Linked DNA regions of Drosophila melanogaster. The gene in region 1 interacts genetically with each later gene. Each region holds a gene or a part of one and is shown on either strand. Other genes may lie near its edges. The genes, in order: Vps39 and l(2)gd1.

What was found.
Region 2: of Vps39 (region 1) and l(2)gd1, changing one suppresses a phenotype caused by changing the other (phenotypic suppression), as found in Drosophila melanogaster (one study listed by BioGRID).

What each region holds. Positions count from the first base shown.
Region 1 is NT_033777.3:18,270,395-18,276,008, forward strand, and holds Vps39 (vacuolar protein sorting 39), read right to left. Parts: upstream 4,053-5,614; 5' UTR 3,960-4,052; coding exon 3,890-3,959; intron 3,838-3,889; coding exon 3,365-3,837; intron 3,304-3,364; coding exon 3,054-3,303; intron 2,996-3,053; coding exon 2,748-2,995; intron 2,693-2,747; coding exon 1,809-2,692; intron 1,755-1,808; coding exon 1,352-1,754; intron 1,289-1,351; coding exon 986-1,288; 3' UTR 795-985; downstream 1-794. Other genes in the region: CG18599 (uncharacterized protein), read left to right, coding at 1-81, 199-707; eIF1A (eukaryotic translation initiation factor 1A), read left to right, coding at 4,544-4,747. UniProt on the Drosophila melanogaster protein: Part of the homotypic fusion and vacuole protein sorting (HOPS) tethering complex involved in endo-lysosomal vesicle trafficking and lysosome biogenesis.
Region 2 is NT_033779.5:11,105,033-11,111,411, reverse strand, and holds l(2)gd1 (lethal (2) giant discs 1), read right to left. Parts: upstream 4,470-6,379; 5' UTR 4,348-4,469; coding exon 4,291-4,347; intron 4,204-4,290; coding exon 2,605-4,203; intron 2,547-2,604; coding exon 2,115-2,546; intron 2,057-2,114; coding exon 1,905-2,056; intron 1,308-1,904; coding exon 1,163-1,307; intron 1,097-1,162; coding exon 977-1,096; 3' UTR 571-976; downstream 1-570. Other genes in the region: Idua (alpha-L-iduronidase), read left to right, coding at 1-432, 491-570; Reps (RALBP1 associated Eps domain containing), read left to right, coding at 5,199-5,345, 5,401-5,805, 5,888-6,207, 6,276-6,379. UniProt on the Drosophila melanogaster protein: Phosphatidyl inositol monophosphate binding protein involved in endosomal protein sorting through regulation of the endosomal sorting required for transport (ESCRT) pathway.

The DNA.
Region 1 (5,614 bases):
AGAGCCTGCAGCAGCTCCACCAGCAACACCACGCTCAGCAGCAGGCCACCCTGAGCTTTCAGCGGGAAAAACTCAAGTCGGGTAAGCAGGTGTTTCAGTCGATGAATAACCCATGATTTGATCATAAGTGGGTATTAAGTAAACATAGTGTGTGCACATCTAATACCTCCATTTGATCATCATTTTGTGATTCGGCAGATTCTCACAAGAAGAGCGCACTGAAGAACAAGCGCGTCCGGACAATCTTCACGCCGGAGCAGTTGGAGTGCCTGGAGGCGGAGTTCGAGCGCCAGCAGTACATGGTCGGCCCGGAGCGGCTCTACTTGGCACACACCCTAAAGTTAACGGAGGCTCAGGTGAAGGTGTGGTTCCAGAATAGGCGGATCAAGTGGCGCAAGCACCACTTGGAACTGACACAACAACGGCTGGCATTGATAAGGCAAACTCAACTGCCAGGTACATCGTTATTGGGCAATCAAGTATCCGTGTCGGCCAATGCGGCCCATTCTGTGTCCACGGAACGCACAAACGGATGCAGTGCAGCCTCGCCCAGCCTGCAGGAGGAGGACAACGAGGATAGCAAGCACTCGCTGTCGCTTTCGGGCGCATTACCGCCGTTGAGTCGAGCGCAGTCCGAGTCGGATTTGTCCATCTGTAACGATTCCCTGGACGGCGACAGCCTCATGGACGGCAGCGAGGAGGCCTAAAAACCACGCCAGTGCAAAGCAAGTTTCCTGTAAATATAGTCAAATAAATATGTACAATATCGGTTTTCTATACTTCTGCTTGTCTTTAATTGTTGATGATTAGCTGCAAGTTGATTGTTACAATCAATCAATGCAAACTATATTATATTGTATAAGCATTGCAGTATATCCATTACATACGAGTACTGAAAAAGCTTATTTAAAAACAGAATAATACAGACATTTACACTCAATTCGCACTTTATACCTTGATCAGTTATCACATTGGAGTATTTCACTTATTGCTGAGCAGCCGCCCTGGCGAGCCGATCGTGGCAGGATAGGTGCACGATGTGCCCATTTGGATAGCGCACGAAGGCGGACTGGGTTTGAAAACGCTTCTTGCACTCGGAACACACACTAGACTCGTTTAACTCGAAGCTAATGTTTCGCTGCTCCTCCAAGGCATTCTCCAGGCGCGTGGACTCTGCCTCCAGGAAGCCGCACATCATCTGCATCTCGTGCTTGTCGGCCATCATTTTACGTATAGATTTCTCCAAGTATTTCTCCAGCTGGGGCATGGGCATGTCATCGGGAAGGTGCTGCAAAATCCAAAATGGTTGAGAAATATTTCTAATAAGTCATGCATTCAATGCATTCTTCACCTCGAAGATCTCGAATGGATCGATTCTGGTGGCGTGGGTGTTAAGTATTTCCAGGGCCACCTCTCGATTCACTTGCGAGAAATCCGGATGCAAGGGCACACCATCATAGAGCGGTTGAGTTGGTGGTATTAATATGCACTTAATGAGCGTGTGAAATATGTGCTTGTCCTCTTTGTAATGGGCTTCCGCATAGGCCGTTGCCTTGGCCACATCTCCGAGAACATGAATATAGATGGACAGGACGTTGTCGTGCTTTTTGAGCCTGCCCAGGATTAGGGCACGCTCCTCCAAGAGTATATTGGTTGGAAATTCCTCTAGGAGGCGATCCGGCGAATAGTCGTTGGACTCCTCCAACATCTTGTAGAGCTTGGCTCGCATCGGAATGAGTTCGGGAACTTCCTCTCTAGAAAACAGGTGAGTATAAGCATTTTGATCCAGTACAATGACAGACTCTCACCCTTTTTCCTGCTGAGCAAGAAGCCGTTGCACCTTTTCGCGATACTGCTTGAGGAGCACATTGTGGAGCAGGGTGTTGCCGTCCTTCCATTCAGTGATTACGTGCTCCAAATAGGGAATGACAAGTGCTTTGTGCTTGCTAATAAAAAAATCAAGAACTTTGGCGCGCGGCAGGGATTCCACTTCAATAAGTTCGTCGGTGAAAATGGTTAGGCCTTCCTCGGGATTATCGTTTAAGACCCAGTCAGCGAACTCAAAGATCAGCGGCAGATGATCACCACCCAGCTCCTGAAGATAGCGTATGGTACGCTTGCGACCCTGCAGCACAGATCCTTCGATGCTCGCCTGCTCTCGAAGCAGTTTAAGGGCCTCCTTGTGCTTGCCCTTCATCTGGTAGAGGATGATAAGTTCAGAGATCTTGTTGTGCTTCTTCAACGTCTTTTCCGACTCCTCTAAGTGGCACTGGTTTAGGCGTAGCAGTGGTGCCACCAGAGAGTCGTTTGTCTGCAGGTAACACTTCAGCAACGTTGTATCGATGATCTCCAGCAGGGACTTTGAACTACTTTTAGTGTCGCGCAGCTTGACCACCTCCCGCTGTCGGGCCCATGCCAGATACTCGATCAGTGCCAAGTAGGCGTTCTCCAGGTCGCTATCCTCAAGCGCCGGAGTACTGGACGTAGGCACGGTGACATCTTCGGTGCCGGGCTTTGGTTCTGGCACCAAGTTTGGGAACAGTCTTATCACATCGTAGGGATCTATAGCCGCCTTTTCAAACTCCTTCATGGCCGCCGAGAACTCCTTATTGGTAAACAGCTCTTTCGCATAGAGCATGTGTATCTGGCGAATGGTTTGGGCTCGGTCCGCGGCAGGTTCATCGGAGATTTGCTGAACATAAAGTTTGTTGTAGTCGTCGTATTTTGATTTCGTTTATCGGACTCACCGTCAGCTCAATAGCCAGTTGGAATTTCTTTTGCTGTAGCAACTGCTGACGCTGGATAGGGATTTCCACCATTCGAATGCACCAAAGCTCGGAGGTGGCGGCGGCAAAGATGGTTCCCTTGTCGGCGTGAACCAGGAATTTCGTCTTCTGTAGCTCGGGAATGGTCTGGACCAGGGTGTCCTTGCCCACTAGGCTGCGCACCTCGATGGCGTTGTTGACACGACCCACAGCGAATGGCTCATCCCAGACTGTAATGAAGATAATGTGATTTAGAAATTGGCTTGAAGTGAATAGTGAGTATCGTACCCAGATCTAAAAGCGGACTTGACCAGAGCAGAGGAGTTAGGGAACTATTGCTGTCCATGGCAGCTGGCCGGACATCTGTTGAGTTATTGATTCCATCCGATTCTTTGTACTGACTCGGATCTACTACGACGAGGTAGCTGTCCTTAGAGATGCCCAACATGTTGTTCCGGATAAGGCAAATGCAGGGATCTCTGCTGATACTAGAGGAGGTAAGGAAGAGGTTGTGCTTCTTTGGTGCTTTTCCTGATATCTAGAATTGGATATGCAGACCTTTAAAATACGAAGTAAATCGACTTTAAAGCATTTCTCACATCGTAAACAACATATTCGTCTTTGAAGCCCACGCAGACAGCATGGCCCACCCAGCACAGTGTCCTGGGCACATCGCTGAGCTCGATGATCAATTCCAGGGAATTAAGCTTGTCCTCCTTCCAAAAGAAGAACACAAGACGCCGCCGGATAGCGCAGCACACCCGTATGACGGTGGCCACACGTCCGGTTGTGGACTTCGGCGTGTCCACGTCCATGGTGAACAGGGTGCATCCCTTCGTGTCGGGCGCACTGTGCATGAAAGCGAAGTTGCTCTCAATCCGCCGAATGTCGCACACCTGCACCTGTAAGTCGGTGAGTACGAAGAGCAGGTTCTCCGAGGCAATCACTTCCATTTGGGTGATCGGTTTCCGGCTGAAGTTCTTGTTGAACATCCGCATGTCCACGCCCGTCTCCTCGTCCACAGAGTACATGATCAGCTGTCCGCTGCGGGTGCCCAAGATGACATGGTTGCCTGAAAAAATGCGTCCGGTGAGTAATAGCTGTGCACCGAAAATTCCACTCACCATATGCCGCAATTGACTCTATCTGCACGCCCTGTTTCAGGATCGAGTGAACACTGTAGGCCTGGTGCATCTTGGCCAAGTGGAAAAACTTCGGTCTCCTCCGCCTCAATTTATTTTCGTAAAAAAGCTTATAAACAAACCAGATGGGAGTACCACTAATGATAGCTGATGATGATAGATATCGATAGCTTTAGCGGTGGTAAATCGATTTCTTCCTCTTATGGTGATAGCGAAATAACTTAAATATACAAAGTAGAAAATAAAATTTGTACATGTTATAATTTAAGATTCAATCGCTAATGACTAAAAAGTTGAGTGAAATTTTAAATTACGATACTTTAAACGAATGCTGCCAGACTCTGCATTGCTGTCGATAGCACCAGTTCGATATACTGGTTCCCCGCGAAACCGTCCACCTCTAGTCCTTTTCACTTTAGCGAGGCGAAATTGTCACATTTACATTTGACAAAATTGTAAGTTTTGAAACAACTCTGTCGCTTTATTTCGGGTTGAATGTTTTCATTGCATTACTACCCACCCAGTGAAGTCGTTGAGTAACAGTTTTACCCCGTTCCCGCTCCAGGGTCGCCAACAAGCCCGCAGACAGCAACAACATCGAAAGTAGCTGCACAGCAACAACAGCAAACAGCCAAAATGCCCAAGAATAAAGGAAAAGGAGGCAAGAATCGTCGTCGTGGTAAGAACGAGAACGAGTTCGAGAAGCGTGAGCTGATCTTCAAGGAGGACCAACAGGAGTACGCGCAGGTGACCAAGATGCTGGGCAACGGTCGTCTGGAGGCAATGTGCTTTGATGGCGTCAAACGCCTGTGTCACATTCGGGGGAAACTTCGCAAGAAGGTGAGTGCTGCTCTGACTACGCTCTTTGTTTCGCCTGTGCTCTCTTCGCTTGCGTTGAGTGGGTGCCCCTCTCTAAGGTGGCTCTCTTAAGCCATTTTGGCATTGATTGCCAGCGAATGCTACGTATTTACGTTATTGTTTTTGTTGAAATGCAGGCAGTTTTTGTGATTTTGGGGGATTTTGCATTACCCTGCTAACTTTCGACCTTTCTATACCTAATTTTCAACTCTCTTTTTCTGCAATTCTCTTTTACTGGTCCATTATTGAGTGGGTGTCATCGTCCTTGTGCGAATGCATTAACAAAAGAGCAGTGGGCGGTGTGGACGGGGCGGCTGATTAATAATACGCAAGTGCCTATGCACTGATGTATGTATGTAGATGAAAGCAAAGCAATAGCACTGCAAATACAGGGTGACCGCCGATACTTAATTCTTTCAAATAATTCGATTTGAAATGTAAAAAGGCGTAATACTTAAAATAAGTACTATTCTGTCGAGGTTATAGTCAATTTCACTTTACTGTCTACTTAAAACCATATGAAATTTAATTTTATTGATACAATATATATCATTTTAAACAATAGAAGTATGATATATCATATAAGTATATATATATATATCATAAGAAGTATGATATATATAGTCAGTTTTCACTTCAGCGATTCTGAAACTAAGCTAGTGAAAAAGTTTTGCTACGCACTTTTTTTTTCAATTTTTTCATGGTAGTACACCTTACGCAAAATTTTGCGTATATCTTTTGCATTTGAATTAGCTATTCAGTTACATGTTTTCAATTGCGAATACAGCCTCCTTTATAGCACTAATTTGGGTGGTCAAACTGCATTCCATGAAATACCATACGTCCGCA
Region 2 (6,379 bases), on another chromosome or scaffold:
CGGATCCGTACTACATATGGCAGCAAGCTGGAAGTCCGGCTTATCCCAACGCCACTCTAAGGGAAGCGATGCGAAGAGCCCAAGCACCTAGACTCTACAAGACGGGACCCATCTGGCAGTACAACAGCGAGCTAGTTATCAACTCCGCCAGCATCCCACTGCCCTGGGCGATGCTGCTCCGGGTGTGTTCCGCATCTTGGCCCAAACTGCGACGACCGCAGCAACTTTCCATCGCAGAGGTGACTCAGCGTGAGGTGTTCATTAGCTGGATGGAACACCCCAAATCCACGCAGTGCCTTCTCAGCTACGAGGTGTGGTTTAAGGAACGCGATAATCTGGGTCGCTCCGCCGACTGGATGCTCATCTCACAGGGCTGGCATCTGCCATATCCGTCGTTTCAGTATGCGCCCGGCGATAAGGGATCCGTCAATGGTGAGCATAACCTGCAAAATTTCCATCTTTCATAACCGAAATCTTTTTTTGTCGGCAGGTTTCTATAAAGTTCGCGGTGTGGATGTGTTTAATGAAACCAGTCCCTACTCACAAATAGTCGAATATCTGGAGTTGTAGTTCAACAAACAGTTTATAAATCAAAAGAAAATATTTATGCAATGTGAAAGCTAACATAATCAGGTTTCGGCTAGGCGCTAGTGGACCGATCCTACTCTCAATCTGTCTCTCTTGGAATGGACTGACTTCACCGGCACAATCTTCTGGACTTGCGCCTTCGCCTTAACGCCGGCAATATCATATATACATATATTATTTATATATAAAGATATTTATAGTACATTATATGTGTTGTGTTCGTAATATATAAATGCCTTCTTCCTGCGAAGGAATCGGCAAAAGCGTACATACTTAGATAAATTGAATTTTCTGTGAGGGATATTTACAAACAAATAACTTAGTGACTTAATCGAGAACAATCGCAAGGGGACGCGTTCCTATTTTATTTAAATTTTCTTGTTTAGCCCTAGGCATCCAAGACCAACCACTTTTCGGTGATGTGCTCCATTTGCTTGGTGAGAATAGGATTGCGAACGCGTATCTTGACTTCCAATTTTCCACCTACTTGCTTGCGACCATCCATTAGCTGTTTTAAGGAATACATAGGTTAAATTTAAGTTTATATTATTTTATTATAGTAGTTATCACTTACATCATATGTGTCGTGTATCTCGCACTTGGTCTCCAATGGCTGCAGCTTGACATTTACGGTTCCGATCAACGTATCCGATCGCAGAAAACCTCTGAAACAACACAGGGGCAGTTTACGACTTAGTCCACAACAATCTATACTGCAGCTATTTATATTAAATGCGTAGCATTGGATGACATTTATTTTTTGTTTGAATTGTTGGGAATTGAGGCGTAAAAATTTGTAAAAATATTTCATTAAAATGTTCCTTGTGAGAATCAATCAAGAAGATCAATGGGTAGACACATACGGTGAAATATATGTGTGCTTGAAGCCGTGACTCGTACGATACTGTTTTACGGGACCAAAGGAACATGCTTACTACGGGAAAAATTTAATAATTCAAATTAAGAGCTGAAACTTAATATTAAGAGCAAATTAATACCCAAGCGAAACCTACAAATTGGATAAAAATATTTAGTAGGTATGCAGCTCAATCAACAGCTTTTTAAATTTTCGCAAAATGATCTATGCCAAATATTTTTTAAAATTATATATATATTTTTATTTAAGTCTTTAAGGCTATTTCAAAATGTAGAAGATTACTACTCATCGGATATTACTAAGTATTCCTTGGAAAATTAATACGCGTAAATAAGATCATATACCGCCTCCGTTAGTTGAGATTAATATGCATGGAAAGCTTCTTAGTACGGATTAAATAATTGTTCTAGCTCAGTTCTTTTATGTACGGGCAACTTACCCTCTAGAGTATATTTCAAACTTGACGCCATGCCGCTTAAAGATTCTCTGGAACTGACGATTGGTCCGCTGGATGTCAACCTTGAAGCGTTCATCGTAGTCAGGACTGCTGGTGTCTCTGATAACATTGGTTTTAGTCTTGAAAGATTCATCCTTAAAACGAAAACATATAAATAATTGGTGAAACTTTAAATGTTGGTAATTAGCTTACATTGAGCAGGGGAAACTCTACGCGCACATAAGTATCCACGTCCTTGGGATTGGCCACATTGTAGCTGATTCCCCGGACCACAACAATTTCAAGCTCACTGTCTGTGAGATCTGTGTTGCAATGCACAATGTTGAAGCTACGCTTTTCATAGTGAAACTTTGGCAGTGGTTCATTCTTTCGTTTCGAGTATCGCACCAAATCCAAATCCTTTTGCACAGTTAAGGCTAAATTTTCAAACCGATTCATGCCTGCTACATCTCCCATAGCTTTGTGATGATCTCGCGTATTTTTGCACATCATCAGTTGTTTTGCCAGCTGCTCCTCCATGCGAACACCAATTTCACAGATATCATCTGTCGGATCGCATTCCTCAGCAGATACAATGGCAAAGGAGGCTTCTAGATTATCCCTTTGTGAAGGCGGGACGGGAAGCTGAAAAAAAAAAATATATAGTTAGCCATACAAGAAGAAGATGTAATGCAAAACTTACAGTGCTGAGGTCCACTGGCAATCCACTACTCGCTGCATTAAGAAGGGAATCGAATCCCTTGAAGATCTTGAGGTACTCCTTCGCCTGATCTATTTCTCCCGCTTTTTTGGCCTCTATAGCAGCTAGCTTAAACTCCTTTTGGCGCTCGAGGAGCAGTTTCATTTGTTGCTCGGCAATATTATTCTTCTGCTGATTGCCAGACGTGCGTGTTGTTAACTCTTTGGGCTTAGGAGGTGAAGGTGCTTTTCGAGGAGCTGTAGGTGTCGTCGCACTGGAACTGGAGGGTGTTCCTCCTGCGGAAGTACTTGCTGTTGGCGGTGGAGATGTAGGCGAAGTGGGCAGCGACGGTGTCGGCGCGACAGGAGCAGCATCAGCCGTAGGCAGCGGTCCAAAACCTGGTGGCACAGGCAGCTCATCGTAAGGCACTGGTTTGCCTGCCTTGTACAACTTTATGGCATCTTCGTATTGCTTCACAATCCTTCCAAAGCGTCTTGCTTTTCCGCTATTGTTTTCTGCCTTGGCTGCCGCTTCTACAGATTGATATTTCTCTAAACGTTGCTGCAGAGCCTCCAACATATTTGTTGCAGCTGCTAGAACAGGAGCAGGAGCAACAGGTGTGGGTTCTGGGGCAGCAGTAGGTTCTGCGACAGCTTCTGCGGCTGCTTCTTCTTGCATTTTTTTAAGGAATTCAAGAAACTCAGCTGGTGGAGGGGGCATGTCACTCAAATCAACTTCCTGTCCGTCTTCACACATTTTTATAACTACGTCAAATTGCTTGACCACTTTGAGAAACTGAAGGGCAGTAGATATGTCACCACTGCGCTTAGATTGCAGTGCAGCAGCTTTGTAGTCCGTCTGGCGGCTGCGCATTTGCGTCACAAGAGGATTAGGGGGAGATGTGGGAGCCACAGATGTAGTGGGCTCCACGGGGGTGCCGGGGGTTGGTGGATCTGGAGCTGCACGACTAGGCACAGGCGGAGGGGAAGCAGGTGTGGAAGGAGCTGGTGACTCCTCTGCAGGCACTGGAGGAGCCTGCCCGCCAATTGGCTTTACACTGACTTCAGGTGGAATGTCATCCACGTTAATGGACTTGCCAGCCGCTGCCTGCCTGTGCAGATCTTTCAGAGTCTTAAGGCCTCTTCCAAATCGCCTTGCTTTGCCAGAATCGCCGGCAGTCTTGGCATTGGCCTCGGCCTGCTTGTACATTTCCAGGCGCTGTTTGATAATGCTTAATGTGTCCACAGTCGTCGTGGGCAGAAAGGTCTGGACGGGTTCCTCAGAGGCAGCTGGCGGTTGTGCGACAGGCTCCTCTTCCTCTGCCTCCTCTAGACCACCGATTCCGCTCAGCTCGCCAAGAAGATCCGGATCGCTTTCCAAATTGTCATCATCATCATCGTCGCTGACATCACGCAAGCTGTCGGCTATCATTTTGTCCAAATCACTGGCGGGTAACAGCTTTGCTTTGGGCTTGGGCTTTGGCTTGGCTCCTTCTCCGCCGGTTATGGCCGCAAGCTCTGCCTCCAAATCACTGTCACCCCCATCGTCCTCACCATATCCAGCGCTGGGATCAAAATCATCTGGGATTTCCGTAAGACCGAACTAAACACAAAAAACAAAAAAGACAGTCCAAACGATGAGTCATAATTAATAAATAGACGGATCTAGACTGTTTGTTTTTCCTCTCACCTGCGATAAATCGTGTTGCCTTCTTTTCGCTGGCTCTGGCTTCTTTCTGGAGAACATCCTTGATTGCACAGAGGCTGTTTATTAACTAAAATAAGTCTATAAAGACTTTCAAATCCTTTAAATTTTTGCGTCGCAACAGTTCAGCCGCAGACAACAATAACAGAGTGGGGATCACTGTGGTGCAACGAAAGGTGACGCAGGAAAGTCTTTGCGAATTGGTGACGTCAGTGGCACAGGGCTACAGGAAATTTGTTGACGGTTAAAAAAATATCGTTAAAAATAATGAAGAAATGATTTTTTCTTCATTCAGCAACATTAAATTTTATTATAGTTTAATCCATAATGAAATATAAATGAACATGGTAAGCCACCTTACAAAACATCAATCCTGCGGAACTAAACTTTTGCCGGTAACTAGGGCTGCGAAACGCTAACAGGTACAGGGCTGCCGCGCCAGCTGTCTAATCGAATCGATACCGCAACCTATCGATATCGAGAGCCAGCGCACACACAGTGCAAAAGAGTTTGCGAAAAAAAACCTGGACAAAAAGCCAAATTGATTGTGCGCCGAGCAGCTTGAGGCACTAGGTGTACCCTCGTCGACCAGTGCCGTGAATCCTCTAACCATCGTGGTTGTGGTGGCACCAAGAAGTTAGCGAAACCATCGTCCCCGCAGTTCTCCCAGCTTCCACCTCCTCCAACTCCGTCTTGGGGGCCAAAGGCAGAAAATCATCAGACTTCTGGTTGTGAGCAGCGCGGGGCAGCGGGGTCGGCACTGGCCTGCTGGGTTAAACGTGGAAGTAAACAAACGAATTGGATTCCGGGTCCAGGACGGACGAACGGGGCGTGGCTCGTTAACCAGCGGCTTGGTAAACGAAACCAGAGACGGCAACAAGTAGGCGACAGGCATGGACGTGTCCCTCACTGAGCCGGAGACGCGCTTCTACAGTGAGTTGTTCCAATGCTGCGACGTGGAGAAGACAGGCAAGGTGCCCATGCTTAAGGCCACCGAGCTCTTTCGCTCGGCGGACATCGCCAATGAGACCGTGATTGAGGTAGGTCCAATTTGTGTGATCGTGAGTGATTAATTATCTGGGTCTGGGCTTATAGATCACCGGTCTGGCGGGGATACCCTCCACGGCGCTACACATCTCGCGGACACAGTTCTACTCATGCCTGAAGCTAATCGCTGCTCATCAGGCGGCCATGCCCCTGCGCCAGGAGCTGATCTTGGCCACGTTTCCGCTTCCATTACCGCACTTTAGCTGGAAGGAGGCGGTTACAGCTCCGGTGGCTGTCGAAAATGGATTGACTGCCTTGCCACCGCCACCACCCACAGATCGCAGAAATTCACTGCGTCGTAACTCGCAGCAAGAGCAGCTGCAAGACACCTCTGATGTGCCCAGCACCGACTCCGAGGTTGAGCAAAACGAATCAGTGGACGATGCGACAGGCCATGGACGAGGTACGGATGGCTGTGGGGTCGTCAGCAGCAGCAGCCGCGAAAATGTCGGGGTTTGTACTTCTATCTTATCTTGTGACATTTGTAAATAAGCTTACCATTGACCGATCCCCGTCCATGCCTTATCTCTTTTAGCGACGACGAGGAGGCGGTACTGGTGGTGGATCGCCAGAAGCCTGGAGCACTAACAGTGACAGCCCCACGCCCACCAACAGCGTGGCTGAGCGGCCTTGGGCGCAGGACACCCTCTGGCAGGGTTTGCTGGGCGACGAGCATCGCCAGCTGCTAGGCACGGAGGAAGAGTCTTCCGATCGCCACAGCAGCGACGACGATGACAACGAGAGCGAATTGGTGACCATTTACCAGATAACCCCGGAACAGCGCGAGTACTATAATAAGCAGTTCAGGACGGTGCAAAGGGATCCGCATGGTCTGCTTTCGGGCCAAGCAGCAAGGTAAGTTGGCTTTAGGAACGTTTATAACTTTATTCTTCTTATTATTTTCTTATTCCTTTTTTTATTAGAAACTTTTTTGAAAAGAGCCGCATTCCTGTGGAGGAGCTACGTCACATTTGGCAGTTGTGTGACGTTACCCGCGATGGAGCGCTAAGTCTGTCTGAGTTTACGG